Linked DNA regions of Oryzias latipes. The protein of the gene in region 2 purifies or fractionates together with the protein of the main gene of each other region. This does not show direct contact. Links are inferred from orthologs where the notes say so. Each region holds a gene or a part of one and is shown on either strand. Other genes may lie near its edges.

Evidence for each region.
Region 1: the proteins of mms19 (region 2) and brip1 purify together in Homo sapiens (affinity purification with western blotting; 3 studies listed by BioGRID and IntAct, with this or other methods). This does not show direct contact. The link is inferred for Oryzias latipes from reciprocal best matches to the Homo sapiens genes MMS19 and BRIP1.
Region 3: the proteins of mms19 (region 2) and narfl purify together in Homo sapiens (affinity purification with mass spectrometry; 3 studies listed by BioGRID and IntAct, with this or other methods). This does not show direct contact. The link is inferred for Oryzias latipes from reciprocal best matches to the Homo sapiens genes MMS19 and CIAO3.
Region 4: the proteins of mms19 (region 2) and ppat purify together in Homo sapiens (affinity purification with mass spectrometry; 3 studies listed by BioGRID and IntAct, with this or other methods). This does not show direct contact. The link is inferred for Oryzias latipes from reciprocal best matches to the Homo sapiens genes MMS19 and PPAT.
Region 5: the proteins of mms19 (region 2) and prim2 purify together in Homo sapiens (affinity purification with western blotting; 5 studies listed by BioGRID and IntAct, with this or other methods). This does not show direct contact. The link is inferred for Oryzias latipes from reciprocal best matches to the Homo sapiens genes MMS19 and PRIM2.
Region 6: the proteins of mms19 (region 2) and rtel1 purify together in Homo sapiens (affinity purification with western blotting; 4 studies listed by BioGRID and IntAct, with this or other methods). This does not show direct contact. The link is inferred for Oryzias latipes from reciprocal best matches to the Homo sapiens genes MMS19 and RTEL1.
Region 7: the proteins of mms19 (region 2) and prim1 purify together in Homo sapiens (affinity purification with western blotting; 3 studies listed by BioGRID and IntAct, with this or other methods). This does not show direct contact. The link is inferred for Oryzias latipes from reciprocal best matches to the Homo sapiens genes MMS19 and PRIM1.

The regions. Positions count from the first base shown.
Region 1 is NC_019871.2:30,042,447-30,046,476, reverse strand, and holds part of brip1 (Fanconi anemia group J protein), read left to right. Parts: coding exon 1-50; intron 51-509; coding exon 510-709; intron 710-790; coding exon 791-923; intron 924-1,017; coding exon 1,018-1,172; intron 1,173-1,257; coding exon 1,258-1,435; intron 1,436-2,442; coding exon 2,443-2,583; intron 2,584-4,030. UniProt on the Homo sapiens protein: DNA-dependent ATPase and 5'-3' DNA helicase required for the maintenance of chromosomal stability. Acts late in the Fanconi anemia pathway, after FANCD2 ubiquitination.
Region 2 is NC_019877.2:1,649,288-1,654,030, reverse strand, and holds the start of mms19 (MMS19 nucleotide excision repair protein homolog), read left to right. Parts: upstream 1-1,784; 5' UTR 1,785-1,892; intron 1,893-2,599; 5' UTR 2,600-2,623; coding exon 2,624-2,711; intron 2,712-3,937; coding exon 3,938-3,986; intron 3,987-4,079; coding exon 4,080-4,180; intron 4,181-4,250; coding exon 4,251-4,336; intron 4,337-4,412; coding exon 4,413-4,487; intron 4,488-4,603; coding exon 4,604-4,673; intron 4,674-4,743. Other genes in the region: ubtd1 (ubiquitin domain-containing protein 1), read right to left, coding at 1,295-1,364. UniProt on the Homo sapiens protein: Key component of the cytosolic iron-sulfur protein assembly (CIA) complex, a multiprotein complex that mediates the incorporation of iron-sulfur cluster into apoproteins specifically involved in DNA metabolism and genomic integrity.
Region 3 is NC_019866.2:12,257,089-12,261,790, forward strand, and holds the start of narfl (cytosolic Fe-S cluster assembly factor NARFL), read left to right. Parts: upstream 1-1,723; 5' UTR 1,724-1,781; coding exon 1,782-1,847; intron 1,848-2,593; coding exon 2,594-2,689; intron 2,690-2,822; coding exon 2,823-2,966; intron 2,967-3,038; coding exon 3,039-3,165; intron 3,166-3,252; coding exon 3,253-3,387; intron 3,388-3,986; coding exon 3,987-4,105; intron 4,106-4,179; coding exon 4,180-4,309; intron 4,310-4,387; coding exon 4,388-4,460; intron 4,461-4,532; coding exon 4,533-4,670; intron 4,671-4,702. Other genes in the region: transcription factor E4F1, read right to left, coding at 119-237, 491-587.
Region 4 is NC_019862.2:3,971,809-3,975,240, forward strand, and holds the end of ppat (amidophosphoribosyltransferase), read right to left. Parts: intron 3,237-3,432; coding exon 3,164-3,236; intron 3,083-3,163; coding exon 2,931-3,082; intron 2,861-2,930; coding exon 2,733-2,860; intron 2,640-2,732; coding exon 2,418-2,639; intron 1,562-2,417; coding exon 1,441-1,561; intron 1,365-1,440; coding exon 1,207-1,364; 3' UTR 948-1,206; downstream 1-947. Other genes in the region: uncharacterized protein LOC101171480, read left to right, coding at 1-594. UniProt on the Homo sapiens protein: Catalyzes the formation of phosphoribosylamine from phosphoribosylpyrophosphate (PRPP) and glutamine.
Region 5 is NC_019873.2:24,446,932-24,450,961, reverse strand, and holds part of prim2 (DNA primase large subunit), read right to left. Parts: intron 3,812-4,030; coding exon 3,716-3,811; intron 3,469-3,715; coding exon 3,331-3,468; intron 308-3,330; coding exon 240-307; intron 1-239. UniProt on the Homo sapiens protein: Regulatory subunit of the DNA primase complex and component of the DNA polymerase alpha complex (also known as the alpha DNA polymerase-primase complex) which play an essential role in the initiation of DNA synthesis.
Region 6 is NC_019865.2:31,300,911-31,305,564, reverse strand, and holds the start of rtel1 (regulator of telomere elongation helicase 1), read left to right. Parts: upstream 1-1,638; 5' UTR 1,639-1,809; coding exon 1,810-1,911; intron 1,912-4,654. Other genes in the region: ndufb11 (NADH dehydrogenase [ubiquinone] 1 beta subcomplex subunit 11, mitochondrial), read left to right, coding at 250-379. UniProt on the Homo sapiens protein: A probable ATP-dependent DNA helicase implicated in telomere-length regulation, DNA repair and the maintenance of genomic stability. Acts as an anti-recombinase to counteract toxic recombination and limit crossover during meiosis.
Region 7 is NC_019865.2:19,076,628-19,081,287, reverse strand, and holds the start of prim1 (DNA primase small subunit), read left to right. Parts: upstream 1-1,538; 5' UTR 1,539-1,668; coding exon 1,669-1,783; intron 1,784-2,180; coding exon 2,181-2,338; intron 2,339-2,423; coding exon 2,424-2,530; intron 2,531-2,613; coding exon 2,614-2,687; intron 2,688-2,768; coding exon 2,769-2,905; intron 2,906-3,581; coding exon 3,582-3,640; intron 3,641-3,840; coding exon 3,841-3,950; intron 3,951-4,031; coding exon 4,032-4,123; intron 4,124-4,204; coding exon 4,205-4,337; intron 4,338-4,660. UniProt on the Homo sapiens protein: Catalytic subunit of the DNA primase complex and component of the DNA polymerase alpha complex (also known as the alpha DNA polymerase-primase complex - primosome/replisome) which play an essential role in the initiation of DNA synthesis.

The DNA.
Region 1 (4,030 bases), on a different chromosome or scaffold from region 2:
TCATTTTCTGCCCGTACAACTACCTGCTGGATCCAATGATCAGAGAGAGTGTGAGTGGAGTTTGAAAGTGTGGAAACTACAAGGACATCAAATCAAAACCCCAGAAAACAGCAGACTACAAATGTGTCATTTTGAAGTTTATTCCTTTACAGAGTGGAATAGACTATATGAAAATACAAACCTACATTTTGTTTTTACACATTTTCGGTTGCAGCTGTAATCTCATTTGAACACGTTTTAGTTTTTGGGTACTTCTTTGTTAAGGAAAAACCAATGTCCTTATTAATCAGGTTAGTTAGATCACCTTTGCAGCACAAACTCTTGTTAACTAGTTTTTATCAATGTTTATCTGGATGCTTTACAGGCATCTCATTGGTCTGTGTTGAGGAAAAATGGGTTTGAGAGGAAACACCTCCCTGGATTCACAGGTTTTCTGTATCTGGATGTAGTATAGACACGAGGAATTAACTGATACTTTTCTCTTTCTTTCAACTCTGTATTCTCACTAGATGGAAATAGATCTGGCAGGACAGATCTTGGTCCTGGATGAAGCCCACAACATTGAGGACTGTGCAAGGGAAAGCACCAGCTTCACTCTGGATGAGAGCAGCTTGAAGACGTGCAGAGAAGAGCTGGACAGCATGGTCAAAAACAACATTAGACGCTCCCAACACGAGCCTCTCAGGGACTTCTGCTACGCTCTCATCAAGTCAGTCATCGATTGGATCAATTTGCCGATGCTCTTGTTTCATCTTGCAAAAGTTGACTTTTATTTTCTGTTGTGTTGCAGCTGGATTCAAGAGTGCCAGGTCTTGTTGTCTGAGCGTGGATATGAAAGTGCCAGTAAAGTCTGGAGCGGGAAAGACATACTGGGCATCTTTTATGGTTTGGGCATTACAGCTGACACCTTCAGGATTCTAAAGGTACCCTAATCCTTGTACCGGTAGTCTTGTTTGAAGCCGTTTGTCCATGTCATTGATTGTGCAGATGCTCTTCCACTGTTTCTCTTTGTTATAGCAAAATCTTGCAGCTGTTTTGGAAAAGGAAGAGCGTGTGGGCTTGGTTCATGGAAAGGAAGACATGGTGCAAGTCCCAACCATCAGTTCAATGACGTCCACTGTCCTGAAAAACCTCTTTATGGTGCTCGACTTCCTCTACAGGGACAACTGCCGGTCAGAGACAAATTCATGCTCTGTTTTTCATATCACACCAGTTCCTCACAGCACAAACTCTGAAGAAAGCTCTGCATGCCTGCAGGTTTGCTGAGGATTACAAAGTAGCTCTCCAGAGGAGCTATTCATGGACCAATCAGGTCCCGCCTGATGTCCCGGATGCCCAAGGCTTTTTGGTCCGGCCCCGACCACGACGCCGCCAGACTGCCAGAGTCAAGACTGAGATCCTGACGCTAAGCTTCTGGTGCCTTAACCCCGCTGTGGTGAGAGACTCTGCATGCAAGCCTCTGCTGTCTTCTAATGATGGCGGCAAGCAGTTGAGGAAGCACACAGACGAGATTTTGACTAGTGCTGTCAAATTAACGGGTTAATCACCATTATACCATGTTCCGGGTGAATACTCGATTCTGATTGGCTGCTAGATGTGCGTTAAAACCTGATAACGCACGGTGAAAAAAGAATTTCCGGTCACCTAGCTTAAATGTTTTCTATCACTGAACTTTCTCTCTGAGCTGATACTTTATTCAACGCATCGGAAAGATCAGCATATATATAGCGCCGAATCTTGACTGCAGTGGTGGTGCGGCGCGACGCGGACTATTTGTTACGTGATGCGGTGCGTAAAAAATAGTCTGCTTTGTGAGAAAAGCGATCCAAATCGAAAAAAAAAACAAGAATTAAGGACTAAAACCTGGTTAATTATGTATTGCTTTTTTAAGTGACCATGGTATAAGCGGGTTAATGGCCTTCGAAATGTGCATTATCACTTTTTAACGCACTTCGCTGAAGCAACCATCCTCATCTTCGCGTCGGACGGTTCAGGCTTCCACGGCGTGTTTAAAAAGTGATAACGCACACTCCGTCCGCCATTAACCCTCACTTAATTGATTACAGACAAGTTATCGCGTTATTTTTTTAAATCTTGTTATTCTAATTTTTTAGCACTCTGGACCTGATGTTTAGTTCTTGTGTTTTGTTCACACCTTGTATGTGTAAAAGCAAAAGTTGGTAGTCTGTTCTATTAGGAAAACTTCATAAAGCTAGTTATTTTTTTTTAGTTGCACATTGATCTTTTCTTGCACCACAATGTCATGAATTTAAATGATGATATCTGAAAGTGAGGCTTTTTACAACTATTATTACGTTGAAAATAACTCTGGCTAAAAACAGATCATTTATTAATTACAGGTCATGATAAATTAATCGGACAAAAAAATGTATTGCATGACAGCACACATTTTGACCATGTCATCCTGTTTGTACTTCCCAGGCTTTCTCTGACCTGAGTGGCTCAGTGCGCAGCATTGTGTTGACATCAGGAACACTGTCGCCCATGGGATCCTTCTCCTCTGAACTTGGGGTGAAATTTTCCATTCAGCTTGAGGCCAACCACGTCATCAACAAATCCCAGGTTCCTGACATAAAAATATGACTCATATTGGGGGGGGGGGGAGAATGAAATTTTAAAATGGATCCATGAAAACCTGTAATATGACATCAACAAGACTCATAAGCTTCAACTTTTTTTTCCTCTTGTGGCAGTTCCATTTTTGTCCTCTGGATGTCATCGTCTAACCATGAAATAGCAGAAATGTTCAGGCCTGAAGAGAGAAGCTGATAATCCACTTTCAGTATCTCATGTTCTCCTAAAGTTTAAAGTCCCACTCCAATTACGTTTTTATCAATTGTCAAAGTGTTCCTAGTGCTCTTTTTAATTATGGTTATGAACATTTTAATCCAATTTTTCAAAACAACTGTTGTTTTCTAGGACATATTTTCTGCAGAGCAACAGAGGTTTATCAGAAATGTACTTCTGAGCTGGAAATAACCCTCCACTGATATCCCATAATCCCTTAGTTTATACTCTCCCCCGCTGTCTTGCAGCCCCTCACAACCCCAACCTTGTATTAGTGGTGAAACAAAAAGGGTGAGCTCCAGCCGTACAGTTCTGATCCAGATTCCAGCTCAGATGAGAAAAACAAAGACGTTCATGGATCTGTTTGTCTGACAGTGGATGATCAGAATGGAGCAGAGCAGGGAGCTTGTGGCCCAACCATTTCGGTTGCTGGATCAAAACTGAGAGACTTTTTAAACTACGTTTTTTTAATCTGCTCCTGATCCACTATAAACTGAATAAAGAAATACACAGAAACACAGTTTACATTTTAAATTATTTTACACATGTCCTTTATCACAAGAAAAATGCTACAAGGAGATGTAAAAAACACACCAAAAAGACCATTTTCATTGGATAGGGGGGCTTGAAGACAACATTAGACGTGTTGTTGTTGAGTAGATGTGGGGCTGGCTTGATAAAATCGATTAATGGATCTGAATTGATTCAAGCTTAATAAATCAATCATCGATCCATAAAAGTAGAGATCGATCTTTTATGCATTTACTTTTCCGGGGACTTGAGTATATATAATGGAATTTCCCATAGGACGGCTAGCGCTTGTTCGACCTAAACATACATTGCTGACTAAATGAACAGCTTTATTTACTCACAGGCATACATTTTCTAAAGTTTTTAAAGGAAACAATTTTTTAATTAGCCATATGTGGTCTAAAGCACCGTTTTTTTTGCTCAAATATTCTGGAATAAAGTGTAATGCTATAGCGCGTGCTCCACCTAGTGACCACATTGAAACGCTCTCCAGGAGAGGCAGAACATTTCATTTTGTAATATGAATCATTTTAGAGCCGTTACAATGTTATTGATCTGCACATTTTTGTTGGAGCTTCTCTTTTTGTGTAACACTGTTGGTTTAACAATCTCATTGGTTTATTATTTCACTAATAAGTTTTACATTACGTGAACTGCGAATATCTTTAAAACATGTATAGATTATTATTAC
Region 2 (4,743 bases):
TGGTTTGATGCTCTAAGCAATGTGAACGGTGGCTGCCTGGAAAAACTTGGTTTTATCCTGTAAAACTGGAGTAAACGCCAACGCAACACATATATGGACACACGCCAAGGTGACCTTATATGACCACAGCTATCACTGTCAAAAACACAGAAAGGTTCAAAGCAAAACCCTCAGAGAGACTGCTGTAAACATGTTTCAAAATAAGAGCATACAAATAAAAAAGCAAAAATAGAAATCATTTCAAAATAAAACCAAGGTAGAATTAGAGTGCAAGCACATTCATGTAAACATCTTCGCTTAAAGAAGCACTGCCATGAAAATGGAGTTTTAAACGTGTTCTTGTAGCATCTTTTGATGATGGGAGGACAAATGGAAAGAAAATGAAGCTCAAAATTCCGTTTCTGAGTGTCTTCTTTATTCAAATCAATGCAAATCGGGAGCAGACGGAAAAAAACGTGGTTTGGAAAACATCGTATTTGTGATGAAGAAACAAGCTTCCTGCTCCGCCCCATTCTTAAGCATCCACCTGCATGAACGACGAACGTTTTATTTTAAAGAACTCCTGCCACGCCGCAGGAGCTCCGATCAAAGGTTCAAATGGAGAACATTTCCTTCAAAGCAAGCTGTTTGACTCCCTTTTGTTTTTTTGCATTTGGCCTCACAGGTCGACCGTCCTCTACACTCTCGTGTGCTTCAACTTCAGCCGGACCTTTCGCCAGGTTAAGAGATGCACAAACATGGAATAAACAATAGGTTTTGAACTTTCTATACACGCATTCTACAAATAAATGTGCGTTGAGTGTGTATGTATGCACTGCAGAAGATTCCCAAACTTTTGGGCGGATTACAGACAATACTTGTGCAAACAAAGGAGAGCAGCTATTCCACCACTTCTTATGCAGGTCAAGGTCAAACGCAGAGGAGGCCACGTTCCTGTTTGCACCCTAAAACCAGCGTTCAGAGGCGCTGCTGCATCACGTGATCACGTGATCCATTCAGTCACAGGTTCCTCAGGTACCAGCTCACCTGCACGCATTCAAATGTGTGTCCTTTCCGGGTTCAAGTCCAACCAAATCAGCTAAAGCTCGTTTGCATAGTAGTTAGGGTCAAACAACAGTGTCAGGTGTCAAATAGTTGAAGATAAATGTCAAATAAGAACATAAATAATACCCCCCCCCCCCCCCCCCCCCCAGGTTTAATTAACCTACATTTAGCTCGTTTTCTTGTCTTTTTCTATGACTCTGCTGCATTTGCTACTCTAAAGTGTCATATAAACAGCAAACTCCGAACCCACCGTTCCCGGACGAACCTCGGCTCTGTGACTCGTCCCAGCCTCGCCAGTACCTCCCCACGCATCCTCCCATGGCCGGAGGGGCTGTGGTCGCTCCCCGCGGGGCTTCACTGGCTTCCAACGGGGCCCATGGCGACGAAGAACCGAGTCCGGCGAAGATCAGAACCCGCAGGTGCAGCGCTGCTAGCCGGATATGTCATCCGGTGACAACAAGGCGGTGAAATCCGGTGGGAACCGTTAACAACTTTTTTTCTGTTGTCTGAATAACCGGTAAAGTTCGGTTTAGTTGCAACTGTAAACAGAAAAGCTTTCTTGCTAACAGGCTAACTGGGCTAACCAGCTAGCTCCGCCAGAAAACACAAACTTCCGCGTGCTCGATGTCATTTCCCCGAGTTTTATCTTCCCTATAAAAGGGTCTGGAGGTAGAGCTTCACTCGGAGCTGAATGCAGAACCGTATCACGCCCTTCACGCGCTCCCGGACTACTTTTCTTCAAAAGACTTGGAAAAACTCCTCACTTTCTGTTGCTGCTGGTTGAGAAAGTGTTCAGAAACGAGCTAAGGCAGGCGAACTTTTCTGCACATGCGCAGACAACCAGGCAGGTGGGTCTGAAGGAAACGTAAATAAATGATAGCAGTGACGTCACAATAATGGTTCAAACCGTCTTTGATATTAGGAGAGAAAAAACAATACACAATGACAATAAGTACATTTTAAAAGGGCACAAAGTAAAAATACTATCAATAAAGTACAGATTCTTATGAATATTTCACTTTTTTGTAGGTATTTTTCAAACTTATCCAAACAAATTAGGATTTTTCCATATAGTTTAAAAAAATACTGAACAAAAACGTGTGAATTCCAGTTTATTATAACGTCACATGAAAACTTAGATAGAATGAATGCAGTCATACGATGAACAAAAAAATATTTTACGTAGTTTAATATCTTCTGGGATTTTAATCCAGATCATGTTATCAAACGGTTTCAGCTTTTAGTCCAGCTTGAAACATATTTCACTGCTTAATTAATGCACTTATAAAAGTATGACATCTCCAATAACACCTTTATGACCAAACAAAAATGATCAAGCTTAATAAATTGTTACATTTATACTTGTTTATGTTTTTTGAGATACTTTGAATGTAATGGTGTCTTGGACATAAATGTGTCGTTCTTTTGTGTAAAATCTCTATATTTATTTTATTTAAAAGCACAAACAATATTTTTTAAAAATATATTTATATTTTTTCTTAACCAAGAAAAAAAAAGTTGGACTTTGGCGTTTGAACTTTCTGCACATGCGCAGTGTCAGCAGCGTGGAGGAAGCGCGATGGCTGCGGACGGTGCCTTGCTGCTGTCTCTGGTGGAGGAATTCGTCTCCGGATTGCAGGACAGCAAAGCAAAGGACGCCGCTAAAGGTACAGCAGTCGTGTCCGGTGTTTGTCCTCACATTTACCAGCGGGTTTGTGTGGAAAACTGAGCTGGAGCCGTTAGTTTCCCATAAAGGTGCGTGGGGGTTAACTAGCTAAACTTAGCGTCACAACATCCTGTGCGGGATGCTGCGTGAGAAGCTCCTCCTGACACTAAACATGTCATGAATCTGCCCTTTTTCCGGGGCGGCAGGAACTCGCAGCTATCTTTGTTTACTGAAACCATGACTGTACCTGCAGTCTGCTGTGGTCTCGTGCCTGCTGCTAGCTAGCTGCTGGCTGGGCGCGAGGAGGATCCTGTCATTGAACCCTCAACCCCCGATTTACCTTTGATCCCGAGTTTGTCTGTGTGGGCAAAGCAGGGAAACACGTCCAGACTACCGAACCGATTCGGTTCCGATTCAGCACAGACCTGATAACTTATGACGTATCAAATTAAAGGAGTTTTAATTATACCCAAAGTAAACAGAGGGGGATCTTTCAAAATAAAACGATCACTTATGTCAATCAAATTTACTGAAGTTTGTTTTTCCCCTGATACTATATTTATTTAAAGGCTGTTATGACGGAATACTGAGGCCACCATGAAAGAAAAGCAAATATTTGACAATGAAGTTGTAACATTATAAGAGAAAAGTTCAAATTTTTACAGGAATTCAGTCGTGAAATTATGAGGAAAAAAGTCCAAACTTTATTATGAGAATTGAACTGTAAAATAATCTGAGAGAAGTCTAAATTTGACGCAAATAGTCCTAAAATTTTCCAAAAGAAATGCATATTAAATCAGTTTTTAGTTTTTTCCTTTTAAAATTCAGACTTTTATTTATTTACTTATTTGAAAAAGTATGACTATTTCCTTGCAATATTGCAACTTTTGAAGTAAAACATTTACAGCTTTATGTTAGAAAATTGTCGTTTTCCCTTTTTTTAAAGTTTTTTCTTGTACATTTTTTTTCCTTGTAAAATTTTGTCTTTATTTTTCTCAGAATTGTACAACTTTATTCTATATATGTACTCATTGTTTCCGTTACCGTGGTCCTATTTGCACGTAAGGCGGCGGGCGCGTTCTTACTTCGACCTCCACTGCAGCGGCAAAGGAAAGCGATAAATACGCTGATGGTTCACATCAAGCAGCCAATCAGAATTGAGACCCGGACCGTGGTATAATATGGATTATTTAAGCTTTTGTTGACATATTATTGATTCTTGCTCAGGTGTCAAAGATGGAGCGTTTACAGTTTTGCAGTTAGTGGAAGCGTTGGGGTGAGCCTTTGTCTTTTTCTCCTTTACTTTTTTACAAAAACACAAAAAAGTGACGCCGTTCTTGTTTTCAATCGACTTCCCGTCCACCCGCAGGCCCAGCCTGACCAGCTCGCAGCCGCAGACTCGCGCCCGCGGCGTCCAGCTGCTCTCCGAGGTCCTACAGGACGGCCGTGCAGAGCTGTCGCAGAAAGAAGGTCAGAACACCAAGCCTTTTCGTCTGCTCAAAGTGAGGAGCGTTGTTGACATCCTGTTGTCCCATCGCAGTGGAAGTGCTCATGGCTTTCTACCAGAACCGCCTCAAAGACCATCACGTCACCACTCCGCCCGTCCTACGGGGGCTGCTCGCCTTGGTAAACTTGGGGGACCCGGTTTCAGACGGAGGCGCTGCTGGAGCCTCCTTGTAAGTTTGTGTTGGTTTCTCCTCAGACCAAGTGTGCGGCGCTGCCTCCCGGCTCGGCCGTGTCCATGCTGAGGTCGCTGTTCCAGGACGTCCACGTCCAGGTGAGGTTCTCCATGAAGAAACCAGGATCTCCTCCACTTCCTGTTTTCCGGTAAAGGTCTGCTCCGTGCCGTTTGTCTCGAGGTCTATCTTGACGTTGTTGTTTTTTGTCTCTCAGTCGCTGATGCTTGCAGAGCGAGCGTGTGTCTACAACATGCTCACCAACCTGATGGAGACCAGGGAAGCCGGTAAGAGTCTTCCTCAAAGTGAAGGGGTTCTGTGCTGCCCGTCCCAGGAGATGCAGAGCCATCAGAAGCT
Region 3 (4,702 bases), on a different chromosome or scaffold from region 2:
TAAACATAAGAATATCGATTCAGGAATTTCTCAATCATTTCAACATTTTCTGAGTGAAGATTATAGACTCAAGTTGATTCATCAATACTTTAAACATAGTTCCAGATTTAGCACATACCTCTTGATTAGCAGTGTGGTCAGTCTCCACCCGTTTACAGTCGTTATGTAACTTGTGCTGGATAAATGCTTCAAGCGTGGAAAATTCGGATTGACAGCGTCCACACTTGTGTACATCGTCTAAAAACACAAAGACGAAGCATATTTAGCTACCATTAGCTTAAAAAACTATCTAGCACCAAAAAGCTATCACCTGCTTATCTGGGCATCTTTTAAAAAGGCCGCTGACAACTCAAACCTGCAGCAAAGCCGTAAACTAGATGTTGCTAAAGACGAATTAGCAACAATTTCGCGATGGAGGAAGTTAGCAAGGCCCAAACTACGGACAAAAAACCCTGATTTTGGGAGTGTTTTGAACTGGCTGAAAACTAACCTTCATCTCCAAGGGTGGTTTGAATGGTGATAGTCTCACTGCCGTTCGTCGTTCGCTCCTTCTCTGTTTCTGCCGTATGATTATTTTCTGCATTCATGTCGTTTGACTTCTCCGTCTCTGTCGCAACGCTGTGCTGGGGAGGGAAAACATGGCGGATTTACGACCCTGTAGTCATAACAACAAAAGAGCGCATGCACTCGCATGCAGAAGATAAAATAATAAACGAAACATTTAACCACAAAAATAAAAAGGCATTCAAAAAACGATACATTTGTTATTATTATTATTATTTATTTTTTATTATTTTTTTGTTGAAAGAAAACGTGATAAAATCGTTAAAGCTGTCGTCATTTATATTTGGATTTTTACTTATATTTCATTTGTATTTTTGAAAAAATATTACTCTATAAATGTTCCAATAGCGATAGTAAAAATATTGGCATTTATATTGACAATGCACATTTTACTACATAGAGATGCAGTATGTCAAACACACAACCATCATCACGAATAAAATGTCACCTCTTAGTGTAAACCACAAAGATTTTCTATTTAAAAAACATTCCATTTTTAAAATTACTCTTGAATTATTTAAGACTCTTCAAATTACTGTATGATATATTTTAGGATGAGCATCTGACATCTTTTTGTCAAGATTCTCTCAAGGCACTTCACAAAAAGCAAACTGAATGAAGCAATGTTGTTTTATTCAGACTTTCCCCTAAAGTTGTACTAGATTGTTCAGTATAGGTTGTTACAATCTGACCAAAATTCCTTTGTTGTATTTATATTTTGTCCCTAATTAAGTGACCAACATATTCTAATACAGGTTCTTTTGTGTGTTCCACTTGACATATAACTAATAAAATGCAAACTTTAAAAAAAAAAATATTACATCTACAGAAGAAACTGTGCAAATACAAACAATTAGCACAATCAAGTTAAAAGTTGTTCTAACTAATAGAAAAAATCTTTTGACAAATTACAAAGATATAATCCATTTGCAAATCTGCAAATTAAATTACACAAAAAAGCCTTTGTGATTTGTGAATACGATTTGAATAGATACAACATAAAACAACCCAAGTATTTACCAGATACTGTGGTAAAAAAAATGTATTTACTTATTTTATCTTAGTTGACAAATGTTGCACATACAGAACATGCATGGCAAACCCATTGACTGTATGAGAGAATGGGGCAAACTATTACTATTAGTGGAGCCTGAACGTGCTCTTCCAGACCAGCATTTCACGACACAAGAGTAAACAACGGGTTTGCGGCAGTAACTATGGCCTCTGTCTTCAGCGGTGTACTGCAACTGACAGATCTGGACGATTTTATCACCCCTTCCCAGGTCAGTGTCAAAAATAATACTTAAGTTTATTCTAGAAGGACATTACAAGCAGAGGAGTTTCGCTTATTTCCCAATCAAAATGCTAAAAGCTCAGTTCGCTCTTAGGGAGCTAAGCTAGCATGCTCTGGTGGTGGTAGTTGCTCTTGTAAGTGCTGTTCCTGGAAGAAGAAACCAAAACAAACAGATTCTAGTTAGCCTTTACGTTAGTAAACATGTAGTGTTCGTTTCTAGTTTTTACATATATTACTTTCGTCTAAAATTACAATTCATTGGCAGCAAAAATAACGAATCGGTTAGCTTTTGTTTTGCTAATGGTAACACAGATGTCAAAACATGGAAAGAAGTTGCAGTATTGATCGGACTTTCAAACAGACAAAAGTCAAAACACATGGATAAAACATGTCTTTACTTCATGTATTCGTCATTCATCCTGTTGCCACTGACTTTTGTTTTGAGCTCCTGTAACCCCAGATGCTTGAATGATGCCCCTGTATCCCCTCCAAACTTATGACTTCTCAAGACGAAAATAACACTTAAAGGCCTTGTTTTCTCCACCTACATTTGGTCAATGATAAACTATTACTAATTCAATGTGATCAAATCTAAGCTCTCTGATCATTCTGACTTTTGTGGTGTAAATTTGCTTACAGTTCTCCCATCCCATTTTTGCATGTTGACAGAAACTACGTATCAGGTTCAACGGTTGTTTACCTTTTTGTTTTTTTCATATCTGTGTTTTTCGTTAGGAATGTGTCAAACCAATAAAAGTCGAGAAGAAACAAGGCAAATCTGTGGCCAGAATACAGATAGAGGATGATGGTAGTTATGTCCAAGTCAACCAGGTGAGGATTCACACTTATTTTTGCCTTTTAGTCTGAGGTATTTGAATCATGAATGGACTTCATAGAGCAGACTGTCAGAGTACCAAATGCAATAATTTAGTATCATGCTCATGGAAGTGTCTTGTGTTGAAAGGATGGCGGGAAGGAGAAGCTGGAAAAAGCAAAGATCTCACTGAACGACTGCTTGGCGTGCAGCGGTTGCATCACCTCAGCTGAGAGTGTCCTCATCACTCAGCAGAGCCCCGAGGAGCTTTTAAAAGTGCTTCGGAACAACAAGGTAGAGTGTTTTGCTCAGTTTGTCTACTTATGGTTGGGTTTGTGTTCCGCTTAAGTCTTCGTTCCCCCACAGGGTGCAGCAGAGCAGAAGACTGTGGTGGTGTCCGTGTCCCCGCAGTCCAGAGCGTCCCTCGCTGCACACTTTGGTATCAGCAGCAGTGAGGCAGGAAGGAGGCTCACCTCTTTCCTCAAAAACCTGGGTAACGTTTCCCTCTTTTAATGTTTCATAAATCAAGTTGAAGCAGTGGCTGTGTACGTGTCTGAAAGATGGTCGCTTTTTTTTACAGGGGTTCACTATGTGTTTGACACCAGCTTTAGTCGGACCTTCAGTCTGCTGGAAAGTCAGAGAGAGTTTGTGGAACGTTTCCAGAGGAAGGGACAGGACAACAAGGCTCTGCCCATGTTAACCTCCGCCTGTCCAGGTACGGACATAGAGCTCCATGATAGAAAATAGAAGCCAAAACTTCACAACTTCTTTGAAAGCTTTTAGCTTGATTTGAATGTGGAACGGAAACCACATTTGTGTATTTATTTTGTTTTTGAAGGCCTTCTATTTCGTATTTTATATATTTATCAAAGCCTAATAGTGAATGTTCATGACATTATCTTTAGCTCCAAAAGCTTAGACAGAGTTTTCAATCGGAATCTCAGTATCACCACTTTGTTTCAGGTCCTTGACGTTTTTTAAGGGTATCAGTTTACGCTCTTCTTTTCTCTGAAAACGTCTCTGAAAGGTTGAGGTCAGGACTTTTGCTGAGCTGTTGTAGCAGCTCAACCCCCCCCACCCCCCACCCCACCATGCTGTTAATGATTTGCTAGGGTGTTTGGGATTGACTCACATTTGACTTTGCGATGTTTGACCGTCCAGTTCATGACTGAAGCTGTGACAGCAGCTCTCATTAAAACTAAAAAAAGACAATTAGCACAACTTTTCTATAGGCTTTGGTTAGGAATGAAATAGTTGGTGCATCAAACGCTTTGAACTCCATTCAGACCAAAGTGTGCGTTTATGTGTGTTCAGGTTGGATCTGCTATGCAGAGAAGACACACGGGGAGTATATTCTCCCATATATCAGCACCACCCGCTCCCCCCAGCAGATGATGGGGTCTCTGGTTAAAAGCCACTTTGCAGAAAAGCAGGTGGGGTTTGGATTTCTCCGTTCTGTAAATATTTCAATAAAGACTAACTGAGCTGGATCTGTTTGTGCTGTTAGGGGCTGAGTCCTCAGCAGATTTACCATGTGGCTGTGATGCCCTGCTTCGACAAGAAACTCGAAGCGTCACGCTCAGATTTTTTTATGAACAAAGCGGAGACCAGAGAAGTGGATTGTGTCATAACGTCTGGTACAGTAATTACCCTTATAAGTAATACTTAGGTGCATATGCAGCATCCACATGGTTATTTGTCTGTCCTCTCTTCAGGAGAGGTTCAGAAAATGCTGGAGGAACATCATATTTCTCTGAATGATGTTGAGCCTGGAACTCTTGATTCGATGTAAGTTCCCTCTTTTTTTAAGAAAACTTTATCTCTCAAAACTCTTCTGATGCTGCCTATTTTTACCCTCAGGTTCAGCAGCGTCTGTGGGGATGAGCTCCTGAGCCACGCTGGCAGTGGATCCGGAGGTTACCTCCATCACGTCTTCACCTATGCTGCTAAGCAGCTCTTTGGAGAAGAAGTAAAGGAGCTCACCTACAAAACTCTAAGGTTTGCTCACCTATATAAATTGTGTCTTTTTA
Region 4 (3,432 bases), on a different chromosome or scaffold from region 2:
CCTTCGTTTCTTTCTTCTCCTCTTAAGAGGCCTGACGTGCCACCAAGGAGGCTCTATCCAGAGGATCCCCATCAGCCTCAGACCTACTCTCCTCGCTCATCTGGCCCTAAAGATGGCCGGCGCCAGTTCAGGCGACATCTCTCCTTCGACTCCTCCCAGCCCCGCGCCGCTTCCGACTCCCCACAGAAGATCGACGAAGATTTTCTGAAACTTTACCACAAGTTTGTGTGTCAGAACAAGATGGCGTCCTCGCACGCCCCTCCATGCCGCCTCTGTGTTCGCAGCTCCGTGGCCAGCAGGTGTCGCTCTTCTTTAGCTCTCGCTGCTCTTGCCTTGTCGCCGCACAGACCCATCTTCAGGAAGCGCCACTGGGAGCTGGGATGTGACACCAGCCCCCAGTCCAAACGCCTCCGGGAGGAGAGCTGCACCCTTTCCCCCGGGTCCAAACATCACAGGAGAGAGATGCTGCGGCGTTGGCCCGTGCCGTCTCCCCAGGAGCTGCTGAGCAGGGCCCCTTACACTCCCTCCAAACGGGGCCCGTCACAGAGCAGAGCTTTCTCTGCAGCAAACAGTCCCGTCAAGCTCTTCTACTAAACACCAAATGAAGAGGTGGGGTCTTTCTACGAGGAGGACATCATGTATAATAAGTCTGCTTTCTGGGGAACTCCTGCTGGTGGGTCTGGACAGCAGTTCCTCTGATTTTAAATCTCCAAAATCAGGCTGGAGGTGAAGAGACCCACAGGAACAAACAGCAGGAAATTGTTTTCCATGTCCAATGTCTTGAAGCATGTACTGAGACTGTTCTATTTCTCTGGGCTTTTGCCAAATTTTTATGTGTTGCTATTTCACTTTGAAAGTAGCCGTTAAATGTTTTTAAAGTTCTGTTATCTGGATGGTGAGGCTGAAAAGCATCAGGTTTTGGAAATTCAACAATTTAGTACAGCGTGTTCTCTGAATGCTGTTTATTAAACATGGTTTTTTTTTACTAGAATGGAAAACAAAGCACCAATGGTTCATTTTAAATTATAAAATAAAGTTAACTCTTTGGTAACAAACTGCTCTTGCATTCCTTACATAAGATAAAGTCCACAGAAGACAAATCACATCCAGGTTTTTTCAGATTGTAAAGACCCTCAGTCCTTAGACTCTAACACACATTTCTAGTTTTGCACAGACTGTGGATCTGCTGACTGGTCCCTACAGCAGCTACCATTCCAGCTCCACTGGATATTTCCCCGTCAGACAGGCGGTGCAGTGGCCGACTCTGGATTTTCTGGAGCCCATCTGGTCCTGCATGGCTGCGACCCCCTCCTGGACGGCTGTAACCAGCCCCTCCACAGTCAAGTACTCCACACTGTCGGCACCTGCACACCCATAGTAAGAGTAGGAGGATCTTCTGCAGGCCGCAGTGCTGCTGTGAAACTGAACACAACGGCTTACCGAGATAACCAGCGATGTCCTTAAACTGAGGCTTGTTGGCGATGAGCTCCTCCTTAGTTGGAATGTTGATCCCCATGTAGCACGGGAACCTGATGGGTGGAGACGCCACCCGGATGTGAACCTGGAGCAACCAAACAGTGGCACGAAACGGTTCAACAGATACTTTTTTGAGGGGGAAACTGTGAATCTGATGCATTACTGCCCCCACAGGCGCAAATTGGGATTGCAGTTTCAGAGCATCTAGATTTGGAGTTTTTCTATTAACGGAAGAGGACTGGCTGGTTTACTTTAAGTAAATGATTTAAATGAGAGGGAAGCAGCCCCCCGGGAAAGGTTTTTCATGTTATTGCAAAACATGGGAAACCTTTAAAAAGACCCACTCTGATGAAAATGGCGTTTTTGGTGTTTCTAACATGACTTTGGGGCGTTTTTCTGATGGAGGGCATATATATATATATGACAAAGACGTAGATTAAAACTGCATTTCTGAGTACTTATTTATTCAAATTATTGAGTCATTAGCAGAAAAAAAAATGCAGTTTGAATAAACTTGTAGTCGTTTTATCAAAATCTACAGTCAGCAAGCTACAAACGTCTGTTTTCCTCGTCTGAGCTGGAGTCTGGCTCTGATATTGCTCGCCATTTGAGGGGCTGGAGAATGTGTAAACAGAGAGCTCTCAACTTCCAGCCAAAATGCAAAAGGTGCATTTGTAATGAACTCCTGCCGCTCTGCAGAAAGTATGTCCTAGAAAACGACAGATTTGTCTGGTGTTGGCCAAAAACGCCATCATAATAAAAAGATCCCTGGGAACACTTTACAAATAGATAAAAGAATGATCAGAGTGGGACTTCAAACATCGTAATTAGAGTTAAAGTCAGTGTTGTTCCTGTAACATCACTGAGCTGCAGATCAAAGCGGCAGGGAAACACCATCTGAATGAGCTTGTATCCGATTTTTGTCAGTCTGTGTGACTGACCTCTTTTGCACCAGCTTCCCTCAGCAGTTTAATGATGGGGGAGATCGTGTTGCCCCTGACGATGGAGTCATCCACCAGCACCACACGCTTCCCTGCAAAGTTGTCCGTCAGAACTCCAAACTTCTTTGCCACTCCCAGCTGTCTCAGGCGCGTGTTTGGCTGAATGAATGTTCTCCCAACGTAGCGGTTCTTGCACAGAACCTCCATGTACGGAAGCCCAGCCTGAGAGGAGAGCACAGGGAGGGGAAATTATGGGAGGTTGGACGGCGTGCAGACGGTGCAACGGCGTTTCCTGGTATGCGAGCTGGGACAGACCTGCTGAGCATAGCCCAGGGCGGCAGGAGTGGCAGATTCGGGCACAGTGCTGACCAGGTCTACGTCTGTTGGAGCCTCGATGGCGAGCTGCCGACCACAGCGCTGTCTCACAGTGTACACCATCTGTCCTGGAGTACACTCGAATCTTAGTAGCTTGGCATACAGAACACAAAGTAAATAAATGACAAACAGGCCCACCTTCAAAAATGGAATCTGGTCTGGCAAAATAAACGTATTCAAAAATGCAGAAGGCAGGGGGGTCTCCCTCAGGACGGGGCACAACATTCAGAGTTTCGATGCCGCGTTTGGATATCCGGACGATCTCTCCTGGCAGGACCTCTCTGTGATACCTGAGCGAGGACGAGAAGATCCGGTTAGAACTGTCAGACCTGCGAGTGTCAGAGGACGCTGCACCAGAAGAACAAACTTACTTTGCACCGATGGACTGAAAGCTGCAGGACTCTGAAGACACCACCCAGCCCTCAGTGTCTTCCTCTCCTGCACCTGAGCGTGGAGCAGACGCTCGCGTCAATCATCCACCTGTATTCCAATCTGACCAAATGGACTATAGCGTTCCCCCATTTATCGCGGGGCTTACGCCCTATAAATAACCAGTGATAGTTGAAATCCCTAAAGCAGGACAGTGGATGTGTTAAGGCTGTGAAACTCCCCGCTACACACTTTAGCCACTTTTCTCAGA
Region 5 (4,030 bases), on a different chromosome or scaffold from region 2:
ATAAAAATCTGTGTAAAGGTTTCATCAAAAAAACGTGATCAAAGATTTTCTCACTAAAGACGAGCGCTCACTCTTTTGTGGAATTATTTCTAATAAAAGAAAATGTTTTTTAAACTAACAAAACAACCATGAATAACTAAGTATAAAAAATAAAAGACAAGGTATTGCATCAGCAAAAATATACATATATTGCAGAGAAGCTATAGATTCAGGGAAAGGTCTTTTGTGGTGCGACTGACCTGAGGTGGTTCAGGAGTGGGTGGAGGCGTTCATCTGAATGCACTGCTGGTAGTGAGCGGGCCGTCAGCTGTGACAACAAATGAGTAATGGTAGATAGTGCTGGTCAAAGATTAGAAAAGCTTAACACCGCTGATCAAGTCCAACCTGACGGATTACGGTACTCGCAGAAAATTGTAAGGATCGGCCTTTTCGCTAAATCAATCGGAACAGCCGGCCGGTGCTCACGCTGCCGTTTGGCTGCCTGACCTTTCAAAACAGACCGTTACGACTTCTGCAAGCAAATTTAACACCAACATCACCTTAATGTGTTTAACTGAAGCCATCCAGTTTGTGTCTGCATGGATTCAGCTTCTAGTCAGTCTAAAAAAGTCCACTTTGAACTGAAATCCTAAAAATTACAAGTTTTAACTCAACCTTCAAAACCTCTTAAATATGTACGGTGCAGCAGTGCAAAGCCACAACAAGCAAAAAGTTATTTTTTAGAGAATAATTGCATTTTAACAGTTAATGGTCTGTTAGTAAAGCAAAGTGCATTTCTTTGGTTTAGTTGTGGCTCTGTAATTGTATTTGAGGAGAAAAAGACACTAAAATTCCACAATGAGGAAGTGTTTCTCCGCAGACAGCACTGGGCTCTCTGAAGCAGCGTTAGTATCCATATAGACCACCAACAGTCAGTGTGAAAACACTGATGCACAGCATTGCTCTGGTTACAACCCAACAACCAAAAACATGTTGGGTACACAGAAGCAGCCCGTCATGAATATGACGTGAAAATATACGGATTACTGAGTCCATACAGGAAGAGCTCAACATTATACAAACATAAATGGTTTTGTGGAATTGACTGTAATACAGTGGGGACTTTATAATTTTTGCTGTAAATATGTCTGTTAATAGGTTTTCTGCAGAACAGTACAGACAGGGGGATTTCCAACATGTTGCTATCATGTTAAGTTACACGGCACTATGGAGGTTAGCCTTACAGCAAGAGTGCCGCTTTAAGCCCCGGGTGGGTCCTAATGTGGCCCTGAAATAGGCTGCTGACCCCCAGCTTCACTCAGACACGAGGGACCGTTTCCAGAAACCCACAGGACCCAACTGAGATGCAGCAGGTACAAATTAGTGGCGTTAAAAATCCAAAATGCTTTTATTTTTGGTTACTGTGGTTTATCGCGGGAGTTGCATTCTAACAATAACTTGAAATATGGGAAATCTGTGAAGTGGTCAACTTTACTTTTTACAATTTATATCAATGTTTTAAGGCAGTAAAACCCCTAACAACACGTTTTATGCTTTTTTTTCCTCTTTTCAGAGAGATATTAACATTGTTACACTTTTCTCTCTTGTTTAGACTCTCTAAGTTCAAACCTTTGTTGAAATATAAGCCTAGAATTATGGAATAAAAACAAAGATCTGCTGGCGTTCAAAAGATTTATGTATATTTGGCAAAATGAACGCATTCTGTACAGGAGACAGAACAAAGATCGACAATGGTGTACAGCCAATCAGGATATATAACGGTACACAGCACACACAGAAAACTTTAAGTAAATTTGAAGTAAGTACATGTTTGACACATTCAAGCTTTTTTTTTTTCTTATAATTAATACACTTCCACAAACCAACAGATCATCCAATAGATCTTTAACAGTAAGAGCAGAAACTCTCCATTGAAAATTGTGTATTTGGTGTTTTTAACATGAACTTGTAGCATTTTTGTCATGAAGGACACGTATAAAGAATATGACGTATGAAAGAGCTCGTAGTTTCTATGTACAAACTACAGCTGAAGATTCTCTGACCGACTGGCTTCTGCAGCGTTCGTAGCGGTTTCTTCCCTTTCATGTGGCTCACCAGCCCGGTTCTCTCATGCTGCTAATGTCGAAGGACTTGGAGCAAAGTCTGCATTTTGCACGTCTCTCTGGTCAGGGTCTTTCCTTAGCCACAGTCGCTACTTCTCCTTGAAAAGCCACTTGTTGTTAAAGCTACATTTCCCAGCATTCCGTGACATTTCACAATCCATGTCTGATAGCAAGTTGAAAGCGTCACGCGCTGAACTGATGACAACTCGACCTGCTTTCAATTCCCGTCACCGATAGCGTAAGATTGAACTTCTGCCACAACTTAAATTCAAATCTCAAGTTAAACCTTTTTTTTACGCTTTTTTGCATCCAAAATATTAAGATTTTATGACTTTTTCAAAACTTTACAGAAGATATTATTTTTTCACAAACTTTTCAAGGACCTAAAATTTGCATTTTCAATTTCCAAAAATGTTCACGACCCATACAAACCCAGAGGCTGGGAAAGCAGCAGCAGAAGACAAAGATGGCGGGCGGCTGGCAATGAAATCAGATGGACAAATCACAGGTTGATAATAAGGTTTCCCTGTTCTCCTCCAATCTCCTGGCTAATCCTGCACCTTTCAATCAATCATCAGGAAACAACTCAGTTTTTCTATGTTTTCCATTTATATGCTTTAAAAATCAGAACCAGGAGACGTCTGCTCAATTGGACCAAACGATTCTGCAGATAAGCTGCCGTCTGGACTCCTCACTCGTACAGAAGCACGTGATTTCATATCCTCTGGGGGCTTTTAGCACAATGCACAAACATTCAGACATGATGTCATCCCAGACAAACATGCCACAGCTTTAAAGCAACCAGGCCTGGAGGGGGGAGTAACAACAGCAGTTGTCCCCGATATCGCCTTCAGACATTTTATGTCATTTGGGCACTTTTTGCTTTCATTCGAACCCTGAGCTTTCCAGGTCCCCTCAGGGCACTAAAGACAACAGCAGCAATTCAAAACCCTGTCTTTTTGGAAACAGCCTCTCCGTAAGCAGAAAAAACAAACACACTAGACACAAATATAATGTGAAGTTGTGTTAAAGCTAAACAAAATCTAAAAAGCACTTGGAGTAATTATTCTGGCACTAATTTGTTGGCGAGTTTCCAGTCTTTTAAAGATGTGCGACAGGATGGAAAATCTAACTACAAACACATATTTGCTTTTGTCTCATTTGTTCCAGATTTATTCAAAAACTTTCATAATTGTTTGTAAACTAAAGAGCAGTTTTGATCACTTACCGCCAGAGCTTTGGAGAGGCGCGTGCGGAAATCGTTGAGGACGATGGTAACGATGTCTTGTTGAGGGACGAATGCAAATCCAGCTTTTAGATACACTTTTCGAGATCGCACTAAATCAAGGGCATCTTGAAAAGGAACCTAAAGAAAAATAGACATTTAAAAATCCAAATAAGCATCAGGATTAGTAGAGTATTCTTTAACCTTTGATGCAGTAATTATTCATCTCCATCATTTCCTCCAATTTATCTCAAACAAAACAAATGGCGACATTTTCCACCTTAAACTGTAAGACTTCTTTTGTTTATTTTTGACTATTGTAAAAAAAAAAAAAAAGATTCCAAACAAAAAATGATCTTTTAATGTAGTCATTTCCTTCATAACTGACCTTGTAGAACTCGAGCTTCTCCACGGTGACTCCACTGACGGAGTAACTCGACATCAGGAGTTTGTCACTCAGCTCATTCTTCTCTTTGTCGCTTAACTGCAAAAAAGTTTTCCAACAATACAGATGAACCTTTATGCTTCATGTAAATCTTTTGCCTTGCTGTTGTCGTCAATTTATGCAGTGATGTGCAAACACCCTGCTACACACAATAAAATTATGATATCATCAATTTACATATTTTGAGTTATTTCACAGCAGCTGTAAATCAGGGAATCGTTGCACTTCCAAAAAGAGTGGCGTCATTATTGTTGGTCC
Region 6 (4,654 bases), on a different chromosome or scaffold from region 2:
TTCAAAGAAATTTGGGGTTTTGTCAGAGGTTTTCTCAGCTTAAGAGCCCAAACAATGAGATGTTTTTTTTAGTTTCTACATGACAAACTTAATTTAAACAACAAGAAAGGTCAACGGTTGAAACAATGCTGATGCAGAGAGCATCCCTCTAGCCATGCATGTCAGCCAGAGGCGTGAAAACCTTTGGCCGGACGTTCCTCCATCCTTGCCGGGCGTCTGGTTTGTGAACTCGGTCTCCCGTCTCTGCAGGATGCGGCAGTGGGCCAGAAGAGAAGCAGAGCGGATCATCTGTCAGAGGGAGCAGCAGGGCCTGCCGCTCATCGAGGAGAACTATTACGACCCCAGCAAGATCATCCTGCCCTCATCCAGGGAGGAGTAGCTCTGCTCCTGATCGGTTTCATGATAATATAATAAACCATTTTTGTTGGAGTTTGTGCTTTTTGTGGAAAATGACTCTTTCTCTTCAGCTGTGTTTTTAGCAAAGGCTGTCACGCGTGTTCAAACCTGTCAAACATCTGCAGCTGTGACATGGTCTGCAGGTGATCAGAGATGAGGTTTGGCCTTGCTTTTAGGCTTTCACTGGTTAGTTTTTAACCCTGGAAATCTACACGAGATTGAACTTTAGAAATCCTTTTCGACCTGCGGGATTGGAGCGATGGCTCCTGCTGTGTTCCTGACAACTACTGAAAGTGTGGATTCTTGATGGTTCTAGTTGGTGGATGTTCAATCAATCAATTTATTATTAGTGTAGTGCTTAGAAAAGCAGAGGCAACCAAAGTTTAACATAAAATCACAAACAATGAGATGCAATAAAGAAACAACCAAAAAACAAATCAATTAATAAAAGAATACAAGTAACAAGCTGTCCCTCTAGATCTGCTCGCTGGAGTTAAAAACCAGAGTAAAAAATGAGTTTTTAAAAGTGTCTTAAAATCACTGATGGTTCTGGCAGACCTCACAGAAAAGAGACGAACATTCCAGAGTTTAGGACACGTGTCAAACTCGAGGCCCGGGGGCCAAATGTGGCCCACCATGTCATTTTCTGTGGCCCGCAAGAGAAGTTTTCAATTTCTTCAAATAAAAACAAAATTGTTGTGTATTTATTCATATCTAGGGGGGATCTGGTCAACTATACATTAGGACTGAAACACTGTCCATATAACCTAACCTGACAGAATCAAATGTAAAAGGATTTATGCTAGAATAACAACTAGACATGTTTTCAATGCAACTGTCACTTTAAAAAGTTAATAAATAAATAAATGAGTTATTTAACATTAAGGAGTAGTTAGGTCTATTTTTCATTACATTTAGTTACAGGTATAAGTTATATCTGGCCCTTTGAGGACAGACACTATGCTGATGTGGCCCTCAGTGAAAATGAGTCTGACATCCCTGGTTTAGGAGTTGCAACTGAAAAGGCTCGGTCTCTCTGAGTCACCAGCCGACTCCTTAAAAGCATGTGATCTTCAGATCTCAGGACTCTGCTCAGACAATTGGACATAATTTCAACATGTTAACCCGAGGAAAGCTACGTTTATTTTTTTTTTCTACTCCAGTAGGATCGTTCACGATCTTTAATCTGAAAGGACGGAGGCTTTACTTCCGACGTTTGAAGGGACGTGAACGTCCCATTTTACTACGCGTGCGCAGTGGGTTGAAGCGACGCTGGCGCGAAGCTTCTGTTATTCGCCGAGCATGAAGCCAGAGCAGCTAGCATTCCGGTAAACGTAGTCGGTTTCTGACGGCAGTTTGAGGCGCGCGGAAGCCCAGAGAGCTTCGGCTGGAACCCGCTTCCCGGGGCCCAAAATGCCGTCACTTACCCTGCATGGAGTCACGGTGGACTTCCCCTTTCCTCCCTATGACTGCCAGAAGGACTACATGGCCAAGGTGCTCCAGTGTCTGCAGCAGGTGAGTCACTGACGGGTCCCCGTGGTTCCGACGTTGGTGTCGGACGTGAGCCGTAGCTTCAGAAAGGTGGACAGAGTTTTTAAACCCCAATGGACGGTCGGAGAGACTGTCTTTCCTTTTTCTACAATTGTTTTAAAGCTTTTGTGGCTTTCCTGCTCGCAGCGTGTTTTGTGTTTAAAAATAGATGTTTGTTGTTTGGAACTTCTGTTGCCTCCCCTCTTGAGTGTCTTCTGCCATCTCTCACCCCACAACAAAGATCAGACTGATGCACAAAACATCTATAGCATTCTAAATGTATCAACTACATTACATACAATCATCCTATTTGAAATGACAGAAACCAGATAAATGTTTCATAAATCAGAAACCGTGTGTAATGTATTCTTTAGTGTCTAATGCATATTGTAATCCAGGATTCATCAGTCCAGGTCCTGAGGGTTTTGATCAGGACCTGGTCCCACGTGGTGTTAGTGTGATAAATACAGTGGAAGGTTCCTTTTTAGTGTCCTCACCAATCAGAAGCTTTGATTAGGAAGCCGACTTCAGTATGAAACATTTATGTCTAAACGTTCCTGTGAAAGTAAACAACAACAACAATAATAATACATTTGTAGTGTTATTTCAACAGCTGACCGACTAAAGTAGACTGTGACACAATGGAAAACAGGCACTCAGACCAGGACTACAGCTCATTTCAAGGGTCCAGCCTAAACAAAGAGGCTGAGATATCCAAGATTAACGGCCGGTGGTTATAGAATCAACACAGCGTTAATGAAGGCGGATGTGCACACAGAGCAGCTCCAACCAAGGTAGATGATCGTTGAAGGAGGTCTCTGTGTTTCTGTTATTCCTTTAACAGCATTCTTGGATTTCTTTGAACGTTCATAATTTAATAAAAGTTTACATTTTCACCAATCTTTAATCAGGTTAAGTCAAAGTCACCAAGTGACGAGGGGGGAAAAAACGGTTACCATGGCAACAGGCTACTCACACTGACTCCGCATTGCAAACAGGAAGTACCTGCTGGCACCAAGAAGCCAAAATTCCATAGACTTCTTCATCTGACACCCTTTTTAACATCTCCTCACTAATCTTTTTTTTTTGTCCATGATATTATTTATTTGTTATTTATATTTATTGAAGTCATAAACTGGCCAATCAGAGGCTGCAATAAAAGCATGTGATGCCTGCTGGCCCCCACCTCGAGCGTCTGTAAAGTTTGATTGACTGATTCTCAAGAGCCTGGTTTAGGTGGAAGGGGGCGTGGACTTCAAACAAGCTCACTCCTGATTGGCAACCAAAGAAGAGTTGGATTTAAATCTTTGTTCTTGTTCTTGTCTGATGATGGTGGAAGAGAGTTCCAGTTCTGTTCTTAGAGACATTGTTAGAGTGGAGATGGGCTGAAATCTGAACTTATCTCAGCCTCTGCTCTTGTCTTTTTGGTGTTTCTATATTGTATTACAGTTTTTGTTGGTCTATTTACCATTTTGAGAGGTTCCTATGGCACCTCATGCCATAGAAACATTGATTCATACTGACTCGGACCAACCACTGCTTCCTAACCTTATCTGGCTCCAAATGGCGGTGTCTGTATCGTGGAAAAACGGCGACTGAATTGAATTCATTTGGTTGGAGCTGGAAGTAAGTTGTTTTCTGTGGGTGATGTCACACTGACTCAGTCCAGTTCTCAGATACAGTCTGAACACCAAACCGTCAGTTCATACTGCAGCCATAAATATCACTTTTTGTACATTTCATCCATCCACACATGCATCCATCTTTTTCTGCTTATCCAGAGCTGGGTCACGGGGCAGCAGTCCATGCAGAGATACCTTGATCTTCCTTTCCACAGACTTTTATAGCTCATCTAGGAGTCTGTCTTTCCAGAGCGTCCTGGCTTGTCCCCGTTACCTCCTCCTGGTGGGACATCCCTGGAATACCCTTCCAGGCAGTTTTCCAGGGGGCATCTGATCTGAAAGAGATGAATGAACCTCCTGAACTCTTGATGTGGAGGAGCAGCGGCGCTGCTCAAAGCTGCTCCTGGATGGACGAGCTACTCACCCTAAAAGAACCACAACCACGCTGTGAAGGAAACTCCTTTCAGCCGCTTGAATCTTATCTTTTTAGTCATGACCTAAAGCTGTGCATTGGTGAGGATAGGAACATACAGTCAGGACCATGAATATTTGGACAGAGACACATTCTTTCTCATTTAGTTTCTGTACATTACCACAGTGAATTTTAAATAAAACAACTCAGATGCCATTGAAGTGCAGACTTTCAGCTTTTATTCCATTGGTTGAACAAAAAGATTGCATTAAAATTTGAAAAACTAAAGCATTTTTTAAACACAATCCCTTCATTTCATGGGCTCCTAAGTAATTGGACAAATAACTGAAAACAAAATGGTCATTACTAATATTTGGTTGAAAAACCTTTTGTTGGCAATGACAGCCTGAAGTCTTGAACTCATGGACATCACCAGATGCTGGGTTTTCTCCTTCTGAATGCTCTGCCAGGCCTTTACTGCAGCGGCTTTCAGTTGCTGTTTGTTTGTGGGCCTTTCTGTCTGAAGTTTAGTCTTCAACAAGTGAAATGCTGCTCAATTGGGTTCAGATCAGGTGACTGACTTGGCCATTCAAGAATATTCCACTTCTTTGCTTTAATAAACTCCTGAGTTGCTTTGGCTGTATGTTTTGGGTTGTTGTCCATCTGTATTATGAAACGCCGTCCAATCAGTTTG
Region 7 (4,660 bases), on a different chromosome or scaffold from region 2:
GCAGTTCCTCAATGACTTAAGAGTTTGAGATACTAGGGGCAATGACGAGTCTCAATATGAAGATCAGATGTATCTTTTTGATAACCTGTTCCATTTTAGGAGGAAAACAAATCTGACTAGCACTTATCATGTAGCAGAAAAAGGGTTTGGATAGAAACTGATCCTAAGAAGTGTTAAGAATGTGACAGTTTGAAAAATAAAGATTCATGATGATAAATATGTGGTTTGTCCATTCTTTCCAGATGTTACTTCTGTTTAATTCAAGAAGGGCCCACGTCCAGAGACTTTAGTTTACTAGTCCTCTGAAATTACAAAAGTGAGGTGCTTCATATTATAGCATTTGTAAACTGTGATCTGGTGCTAAATCTGGGTAAAGTATTAATCATTTAGTGTTGCCTCCCTTTAAGCTATGCAATTAAAATAATTTCCTGGAAAAACAAACTTCTTGGACTTGGGCCCGTATTGAATTTACAGATTCAATTTTTTTAAAGGCAAAATAAGTTGTGAATATTCATTCAGTGGTAAAATACTTATTAAAACATTTTTTAGGAGTCTCTCAATGGGCACAAATTCAAGGATCTCTTTCGAAAAGAAAGAGTTACAATTTCGTCCAAAATTAACTGCTTATTGGATGTTTGACACTTAAAAGATGTATATTTTATGACCCACCAGAGAATGTTTTCTGAACACGAAACACAGCAAGACGTCATTTTTGTAGGATATGTCAGTATTTTATTCATTCAAATTTTTCACAGTAAAGCAGAAAATTGCCTACAATTTCGTAAAAGTTTTACCTTGTTATTTTTTTAATCTACTCACCAGTTTAAATGTCTATATGGCTCAACAATTAGGGGGAAAAGAAAGATTTTTTTTCCAGTCAGTTAGAAAATATAACTTCAAAACTTGAGCACTTGTTAGTTTGTCATTATTTATTTATTGTTGATTGTCTATTGTTCATGACAGTTTGACAAGGAAACCAAGTACAATAGCATAAAACCATATTTAGGTTTTGGATAATAATAATAATATTGATTTATTGTATATCTTACTTCTATTTCTGCCTTTTTAATAAGGATTTTTTTGACTTTTTATTTTTAGTTGGCCTCTTTTATTCTATTGTATTTGTGTGGTTTTATATGAATGATTGAACTATTGGTTTGTAATAAATTTTATCTATCTATTTCTTTTTTCCTTTCCTGTGTCCAGAGCATTGACTGCACGTAGAAATAACTACACACACACAGTCAATGGTGTAGAGCTGTAACGGGGACATACTTAAGCAAAAACAACTATAGACAGTTAAAAATAAACAAATAAAAGATAAACATATTTAAAACTATATATTTTTGCAAGAGTGCTATCCTTAAACAAAAACAGCACAAATTGTTTCAGTTTTACACGCCTCGGATGTATCTCTCCAACTAAACTACATTTCCCATAACCCTTCTCTAATTCGTCACTTCAGAAAAGAGGATGCACGGACATTTCCTGGTTGTGGTGACGTCGTGAACGGAAGTCCCCTGTGATTGGTTGTTTCTGTTCTAAGTTTTCCCGCGCGCTCTGCAGCAAGCAAACGCCACAGTGAGCGTTTTAGCAAGAAGAACAGACAAGCTAGCGTCTCGCTGGTATTTTTGAACCATTTACAATTGTTGTCAAAGCTGTAGCTTTATGAGAATGTCGTATTCAGACTACGACCCAGCTTGTCTCCCAGACTTATTACCGCTCTACTACCGGCGACTGTTCCCCTTCTCACAATATTATCGCTGGCTGAACTACGGCGGAGGTGAGTGTTATAAACAAACACACGCTGTGGAATGTAGAAGAAGTTAATGTTGGGATGCTAAACCGCTAAAGACTGTCAAATATTGAGTGCTTAAAGTTATCGATTGTGTTTATTCAGCCGCTGACAGGATATCTGAGAGCTGATTGTGTAACAACAACAAACCCAAACATTGACATCGATTAGGATTTTATGAAATATATATATAATCCTCCCACTTGTTTTTTTAAAACACATCTATTTAGTAGAACCTTATATTATTGTAAGTTGAATTCTAATTCATGGTTTAATTTAGCTGAATATTTGGTCAAAATAACAAGCGAATGTTTGAGCTAAAGCTTGTGTTTGGTTTCATAAAATGAACAGATCTTTCTTTCTTCCTGCTTTTCTTTCTCCTCAGTGCAAAAAAACTACTTTCAGAACCGGGAGTTCTCCTTCACTCTCAAGGATGACATCTATGTTCGCTACCAGTCATTCAGCACGCAGAACGAGCTGGAGAAGGAAATGCAGAAGATGAACCCTTACAAGATCGACATTGGAGCAGTTTACAGTCACAGGGTTGGTAACCGTGGTTCTGATGTTGCTTCTCTGAGCATCAATGCAGACATGCAGAAAGAGCTGATGGCTTCCTTTACACCTGCAGCCTAACCAACACAACACCGTAAAGTCTGGCAGCTTCCAGGCTCTGGAGAAGGAGCTTGTGTTTGACATTGACATGACCGACTACGATGATGTCCGCACCTGCTGCAGGTAGAACTATTGATATGCCATTACTTTGTAATGTCTTTGCTTTCTCCATAAATGTACTAAATATGTCAAAACTTCACTTGTAGTGCTGCAGATATTTGTTCCAAGTGCTGGACGCTGATGACCATCGCCATTCACATTCTGGACAGGGCTCTCCGAGGTTTGTCTTCAGTGTCTCTTCACCTCTTTTTCACTGCTCCACACCTATTTGAAGCCGCAGTCTGCTTTCTGGCATTTCCAGACGACTTTGGTTTCCAGCACTTGCTGTGGGTTTACTCCGGCAGAAGAGGAGTGCATTGCTGGGTGTGTGATGAAGCTGCCCGGAAGCTCTCTGCCGCAGGACGTTCCGCTGTGGCAGAATACCTCAGTCTGGTCAAGGTAATGTGGTGCAAATGGGTTTAATTTAACAGTTTATAAAAACAAAAGCGAAAGAGGTTTGCTTGTTTAAAAAATAGAGACAAGTGTGGAAGATTTCTTCGTAGTAACATTCAGTTCCCAACTGACAATTCATTTTGCCATTTTAAAATGTAAATTCAATGTAAAATAAGAATTCAATGTTACATTTTTAAAAATGTAATTTGAAATAAAAACCACTAGTCATAGGTTTTTGTTACCATAATTAAAATTACAAGTAAAAATGGATTTTGCAATTTATAATTCAATGTGGAATTTGGATATGCATATTGAAAATACATTTTCCAGTTTATAAATCACTATTAAAAATATATATATTTCAGTTACTTGTTTGTTTTACATTCATCCTAATTTAACATAAACTCTATTGCTTTTCTATTTGCCGTGATATTTCTCTGTCAAAATTCTAAAGAAACTGCAAAACATTTGTCAGTTTGGTATATTCATCTGCCACATGCGTTTCTAAATTGCATGATCAAATTGCAAATTTAATTGTTGATTGAGAATTGAATATTATTTTGAATTATGGGTGGAAAAAAAACTTCCATAAATAAGGGAACATTGTTGATACATTTTCATGCAGTTCCTGTAAATCTCTCTTTTTCAGTTTCTGTTTATTGAACTCATGTTTGCTTCGTAGGGCGGTGAGGAGACGGTGAAGAAAGTGGTCCTGACAGATCCAATTCATCCCTTTATCAGGTAATAACCCACATTTTAATGTTTCAAACGCATTCTATTTTTATCTGCAGTCCCACATCAGTGAATGGTGTGAATCTTTTATTTTTGGAGACTTTTAACCATTTTTAAAGCATCAAACTGTTCTGTTTTACTAGAATTGAACATTTTCTTCTGTTTAGGTTTCAGTTTGTTCAGATTTCCCACATTTGTAATCTTAACAGTGCATCTTTGGAAGTGGTGGAGAAATACTTTCTGGAATACGCGGTGCAGGACCAAGACATACTGGGTCGCAAGGAGTGTGTGGACAAAGTGCTGGCCCTTGTGCCTGAAGATATCCTTTTTTTTAAGTCACAAGTTTTGTGTTAATATGAGCCAATAAGATAAAACAATTACAACCTTAATACACAAAAACATGTCAGAAATGAATTGCAGACCAAAATGAAAGGTGTGAAGCAACCAGAAAAACTCTGGAAAATGATAAAAAATGAAGCTAAGAATAAGCAGGTTTGTACTTTTCTATAGGTTTATTTTATAACATCTTTTTTTCTTGTGCAGAAGGACGTCTGTTTTTTTTTCTTTTCTTAGGGTACTGTGAAAAAAGGCCAACACTTTGAAAAAGAAATCATGCTGCAGTACTGTTACCCTCGGCTCGACGTGAACGTCAGCAAAGGGGTGAACCATCTGCTCAAGAGTCCGTTCAGTGTCCATCCCAAAACAGGTGATTATGCCTTAAAAGGAGCAGAAAGTTTGCAGTCATTAAGACAAATTCATATAAATATGAAGCCAGATTTGACAAAAATGCAAATGTCATACAAGAATGTAAAAAACAACAACTGTCAAACTTTCAAATTAAGGATTAAAAGCAAACCTTTAAAGATGCGATATTTTGTTATTACTTAAAATAATTAGCTCTCTTTGGAATGGTGACTGTTGTTGAAATAAATAACTGAAGCTATTGCACGCTTTCTGTTGTAAACTATTTGAAATAAAATAGAAGACAAGATGAACTACTGGGCTTTGGAAGATGAATATTGTCCTGCC